Bombyx mori: one gene and its partner. The protein of the gene in region 1 purifies or fractionates together with the protein of each later gene. This does not show direct contact. Links are inferred from orthologs where the notes say so. Each region holds a gene or a part of one and is shown on either strand. Other genes may lie near its edges.

What was found.
Region 2: the proteins of flap endonuclease 1 (region 1) and cell cycle checkpoint protein RAD1 purify together in Homo sapiens (affinity purification with western blotting; 3 studies listed by BioGRID). This does not show direct contact. The link is inferred for Bombyx mori from reciprocal best matches to the Homo sapiens genes FEN1 and RAD1.

Annotation. Positions count from the first base shown.
Region 1 is NC_085126.1:8,809,277-8,813,295, forward strand, and holds the start of flap endonuclease 1, read left to right. Parts: upstream 1-1,140; 5' UTR 1,141-1,284; coding exon 1,285-1,366; intron 1,367-1,450; coding exon 1,451-1,516; intron 1,517-2,036; coding exon 2,037-2,240; intron 2,241-2,516; coding exon 2,517-2,662; intron 2,663-3,246; coding exon 3,247-3,414; intron 3,415-4,019. Other genes in the region: plasminogen receptor (KT), read right to left, coding at 85-215, 295-375. UniProt on the Homo sapiens protein: Structure-specific nuclease with 5'-flap endonuclease and 5'-3' exonuclease activities involved in DNA replication and repair.
Region 2 is NC_085122.1:11,571,130-11,573,496, forward strand, and holds part of cell cycle checkpoint protein RAD1, read left to right. Parts: coding exon 1-21; intron 22-1,188; coding exon 1,189-1,320; intron 1,321-2,367. UniProt on the Homo sapiens protein: Component of the 9-1-1 cell-cycle checkpoint response complex that plays a major role in DNA repair. The 9-1-1 complex is recruited to DNA lesion upon damage by the RAD17-replication factor C (RFC) clamp loader complex.

The DNA.
Region 1 (4,019 bases):
TGATCATGTTGCCAACACAAAGAAACAAAAAATAAAGATACAAAAAAAAAAAACAGCCAGTACGTTAAAAAACAAAGTACCTACCCTGTAAACAATCCCGTTGCGGTCGTTATATAAAAAGCAGTAATCCACAGACATGTGTCTCTGTTTTTAGCTATTTCCAAGGCCATTTGGCGTTCTTGCATTTGATATTGTAGTTGTATTTGTCTCTCCATCTGTAACAATAAATCACTGGTGTATCACCGTAACAGCTTTAAATAAATAATGACACCATCGCAGTAAAATATTAAATACCTTGACTTTGTTTATAGTTTGCAAGAATTCTTGGTTCCTTTTGTAATTTTCTTCCATGCTGACGCTGAACAAATTACCCATTATCCTTTTATTTACGTGTCCGATAGACCGACAAAACAAAAGAGTAATTTAGACTATCTAATGTAGGTACCTACGTCTTTTCTCTAGATCTATCAGCTGTTTACTGTCAAATACAAATAGCCATGATTACAGAGTAGGTAGGTAAACCAATGCAAAGTGTTTTTTAGATTACGGATACAAATACTGAAAGCTGCAATAAATTAATTTAATATTAATATTAAATTCCAAAAGATAAATACCCTAAAATTTATCTTCGCAGACGTACAAAAGTAATTGTTCTAAAATTAAATTACTTTATTTTTATCCATTATCGTGTAAAAAATCTTTAAAATCGATTTTGTTGGTTGCGTTGTTGAAATCTACCATTGAAGTTTTTGCTAGGAATGCGAGGAGTGAAAACATGTAAATTGTTTTATTTTGTTTGTTTTATTTTAGTTTTGTTCTAATTTTATTAGAATATTTCGAGCTTAAATCTTTAATATATATGTTAGCCATAGCTTATTAACCAAAGTCATCATCATCATTTAATTTTTTGTCGCATTACCTCATCTAGTTTCTTCTTCTTCTTTTTCTTTCTTCTTTAGTAGGTATAGATTAGTAATTTTTAGTTTAGTATTTTTATTTTAGTTGGCGGTACTTATTAATTCCATGCTTCTAACATATTAAAAATTCAAATGAATTGATTGCATTTCGTATCACTCTTTGTCATTTTTCATAGCACACAGTATTGTCATACTAAAACCACTGAAGTATGAAACCTACACCTAAAAAAAATCAACAAAGAAACTGGTACATATGTCAGCTGTCCAAATTGCAGCTTGTGTTACCTATGTCAAAACTCCCGCTAAATTTATATGATGTATTGAATAGTACTGTAAAATTAGTTAAAGTTATTTGAATCAAATCAAAATGGGTATTCTAGGTTTATCTAAGTTAATTGCTGACATAGCACCTCATGCTGTCAAAGAAATGGAAATCAAAAATTACTTTGGTAAGACATTCACTTCATAAATTATACTTATTTCTTGAGATATAAGCCTCGTGTATAAAAAATACTATTTTTTCGTATTCTCAGGAAGAAAAATAGCTATTGATGCTTCTATGAGCTTATATCAGTTCCTTATCGCCGTAAGAAGTGAAGGTAAGTAATGTTTTGATTCATAAAATTCTTTGCGGATGTAAGAATTTTGTTGGTTGAGATATGGTATAGGTGGTCTTCTTATTAGATCGTTATGAAAACTCTTGATAAAAGATAAAGTAAGAGTATATTAATAATGTAACATAATGGTGAAATTATGGTTTTCACAAACAATAATAATAGGTATGCCATTATTTACATAAAGATTTTTCTAAAAGATTAATAACGACAACAAAAGCAACTTCAAACTAATCAAATTCATTAATTATAGTAATTTTTGTTTAGTATCCACTCATCTATTTTTAATATATCCCAGATAAATATATATAAGATTAAACTGTAATATCACATAGTGCTTGAAAAAATACATTTCATTTAGTAGCCACATTATTTCATTAAGTTTTTAATGAATCTTACTTTTTTCCATCCTATTCCTTAGTAGCCTAAGCATTGACTAGTAATAAAAGTCTTTGTCAATAATTTGATAGGAAATGCACCACAAATTACTCATTAATTATTTTAGGAGCCCAACTAGTCTCTGTAGACGGAGAGACTACATCACATCTGATGGGTACATTTTACCGTACTATAAGACTGGTAGAAAATGGGATTAAACCAGTGTATGTCTTTGACGGGAAACCTCCAGACATGAAGGCTCATCAGTTGAATAAGAGAGCAGAAAGGAGAGAGGAAGCAGAGAAAGAATTGCAAAAAGCTACTGAAGCCGGTAAGGTTGTTCTATGATTTACTCTGGAAACTTTGCAAATAACAACACATGGTACATTTGTGTTAGGCAGTTGTCTGTTTGTGACCAAAAGTTGCAAGTGTCCAAAAGTAAATTGTAATAAAACGAAAGTAAATTGTAATTTAAGCATTAATCTACCTTTTGTCATTGTTTTGTGAGTGAAAAACATATATTGAAATATCCTGAAACTTCCTTACCTAATGATTTTCGCATTTATAGCATAAAATTTAAAACTACAAAAACATAAAAACATTTCAGGTGACACAGCTTCAGTGGACAAGTTCAACAGACGTTTGGTTAAAGTAACAAAACAACACAGTGAAGAGGCTAAACAACTCCTCAAATTGATGGGTGTCCCGGTTGTTGATGCACCCTGTGAGGCTGAAGCCCAGTGTGCAGCTCTTGTATGTAGTCTTTTATATATTCATCAAGTTATGTACTTAATTACTAGTGACACTACTAACTGTAAAACTATGCTCTTCAATGATTTTGACTGTACCAATCTCTTAAACTATTGAAAAAATATGCAGTGTATAAATAATTGTGCTTGAAGCTCCAGCAGCATCATGTTCTTACAATATGCAGCATATGTAATAAATTGACAATAATGATGACTTGGGAAATGATTGCTTTTTTTTCTTACATGGATGGACTAGCTCACGGCCCACATGGTCTAAAGTGGTCACTGGACTCTATAAACATTAACAACGTAAATACTGCTACTCACCTTGACACATGAGTTCTAAGTCTCAGATTTATAATTTAGTAGTATTTATAGTATTATAGTTAGATTAACAATGCCCCATCCATCAAACAGAAACTCTTTTCATGGCAGAAATAAAGAGGGTGGTGGTACCCCACCAGTAACTAAGTAGATATATTGATTTGATACAAATGCAATGAGCGTCTTAATCTTCAAGCCACTACGAAAAAATTAACTATCTGTACTATGATACTACCTACTTCTTAACACAAGAAATACTTACAGGTAAAATCCGGTAAAGTTTTTGCAGCAGCCACAGAAGATATGGATGCCCTAACCTTTGGTGCACCAGTGCTATTGAGACACTTAACGTTTTCTGAAGCAAGGAAAATGCCCGTGCAAGAATTCCATTTAAATAATGTACTACAGGGATTGGAATTGAAACAGAATGAGGTTCATTAACACATTTTCATTAGTTAGCATCGTCGTCAGGTTTGAGCCCCGTGAGCTCACCTACTAGTTAAGGTTCCGCTGGAATAGCCTCTCTAGGCTACCAGCTTAGGAAGGAAAAAAAAAAGAGTCGTGGCATTCCGTATCAGACAGTCATTCAGTCCGTATCGGACGGTCCGTCCGTCTCAGTCAGTGAGTCTCTGGCAGTCAGTCAGTCGGTCTGTCGCTATGTGGAACGAAACTGTCGGTTTACCCTGTCATTGTGAAAGTTGTGTGTTTTGAGTTTCAATAATTATTATTCAAAAGTTTTATTGACTAAACTGAGTTCAATCGAATACAAGTGATGACGGAAACAACCGCTTAGCCATCCCTGGCGCTGCGCCGACATATAGATAATTATTACATCTAATTAGCGTTATATATGTGCCACAATGTCAAACCTCTAAACAGTTCCCTCTAAAAATTTCAAATGCATTGTTGTTAAATAATCGGTGAGTTTAATCACATATTTTACAAGAGTGCTACAATAGTCTGGATTTATATAGACAGCTACATTAGATACTAACTGGAAGAGGTGGAGGTTGTGGCATCAAGACTTTTTTTTTATA
Region 2 (2,367 bases), on another chromosome or scaffold:
ATCGTTACGTACGGAATGCAGGTTAGCCTTTTCACTGATATTGATATTTCTCTGAAAAATAATCTTTTTTTTATTTTTTTTATTGCCCTTGTAGGCAGACGAGCATACGGCCCACCTGATGGTGAGTGGTTACCGTCGCCCATGGACTTCAGCAATGCCAAGGGCAGAGCCTAGCCGCTGCCTACCTAAGAATAAAATGAAGTTTTCTCATCAAAGTATCTGTTGTACAATAACATCTTCTTGAATGACCTTAATGATAATTCCTTTTGATACTATATAAACTATTATATGTATGAATGTGTGTATGTATATGTAAATTTTCATTGCACCTACAACTGTTTACTCTGCACTACCTTTGGTTGAATGTTAGAGAATGCCTTAGGCATTAAGGTCCGCCAATGTAATTCTTACCTGAAGTGCAATAAATAAATAATGAAGGTTCTTTCTTCTCCGTCAGTATCACTCTTAACAGAATGGTCGTGGTCATCAAAGTCGAAATCAAAATTATTAATGTATGATACTGTTACGTTCTGAGGCTCGGAATAGACAAAACTTTCACCGAAGTACAAATTAAAATACTATTCAACACTTAGAACATTCAAAACACATTTCACAAATCGCAATTCGTTTCTTCCGCTTCGCTTCAGGTGATACGCTCGCTGTTTCGCTTCGAGTAGTTCCGATTACTGACTGCCTTCATGTCATCTTTGCAACGCTTTTATAGTCAACACGACAAGTCTGCAATTATCGAGAACATTCCCGATAGTACTAGTCGTTTCGATGTGTGCTTCCACCCTCAGACACAGCCCATTGAGTTTCTCGCCGGATCTTCTCAGTGGGTCGCGTTTCCGATCCGGTGGTAGATTCTGCGAAGCACGGCTCTCGCTAGGATTCGTGATAGCAACGTCGTCAGGTTTGAGCCCCGTGAGCTCACCTACTAGTTAAGGTTCCGCTGAAATAGCCCCTCAAGGCTATCAGCTTAGGTAGAAAAAAAACTGCTCTTTGATAATAGATGGCGCTACACTTCTCGAACGTTCTCGGTATTACTAGCTTTTTTGACATCAATTTCGGCTAATTAGCGATAGATGGCGTTACTCTTACCGGCGTAACCGTATCAACATATATTACTTCAAACTTTAACAGGGTTTAACAATTAAATTTATTAGTATTTTTTCTTTTATTGTACAGGATCGATCCTGTATCGAAGTGCCTGAGTGCTCGGACACACTGCAGAGCTTCAGCTGTGAACGAGAACTGACCCTCAAATATCAACTCCACCACCTCAGGCTCTGCATGAAAGCTCTAGCTATTTCAAATAAGGTACAAATCTCAAACTATAACTACTATTACTATTGTTACTATACTACTACTACAAACTAATGTAACTATACTTGAGACCTTAGAACTTATATCTCAAGGTGGGAGGCGCATTTACGTTGTAGATGTCTATGGACTCCAGTAACCACTTAGCAACGGGTGGGCTGTGAGCTAGTCCAGCCGTCTAAGCAACAACAAAAAAAACGAACCCTCTGTGAGCTAATCTACTCTATAGTTAAATTGATTTTCATGTGATTTTTAGCAGAAACCACATTCAGTATATTTATAACACATTTAGTCTAAGATCCCGCTGCAGGATTGGTGCGTTCATCGATTTTTTGCTTAAAACCAAATTTTTATGTTTATTTATAATTAGGAGAATATATATTTACTAGGGTGCCTATCAAAATTTGGCCGCCATTATTTTTAATTAAATTATTTTTAATTGATTTTTGGTAAAAAGTTTCGTTTATTTATTTTTTAAATAAAATAACGTCTACATCACGGTAATTTATATGAAGGTTCTAAAAAATCACGGTTGCCGTTGCGCACCTGGCCGCACCTCTTCGCAGCCAGGTGTAAACAGGTATGATTTCGATACATTTATACGTTCATAACGTATATTTATTAATTATATGTCAAATTGAAGCTAATTTTTTTCTATTAATTATCATATATGGTTGCTTAATTAAATCTGGCCGCAAATAAGGGTTACTGGCTGTTAAAGATGATAAATATTTAAGGTAGAGTGAAAGAGAGTTAGCGCGTAACATCATTTGTTAGACGAGGATAGCGATTGCCGGCTGTGCGACGCTTTTAAGCCATTACGCATGCGTCGATTGTTAGTGTTCTCAACCACCGGGGAGTAATAGAGACGACTTATAATAAATACTCCAAAAAATATGTATTTTTTCTCAAAATGACAAATTTAAAAATTACTAGATTTTATTCAAGTATTTAATCGTCTGCTACTTACATATTAATTTAATATTTAAGCAAATTAAAATTTTAAAAATTATACTATATTTCCGCAACTTTTATGCGTAATGG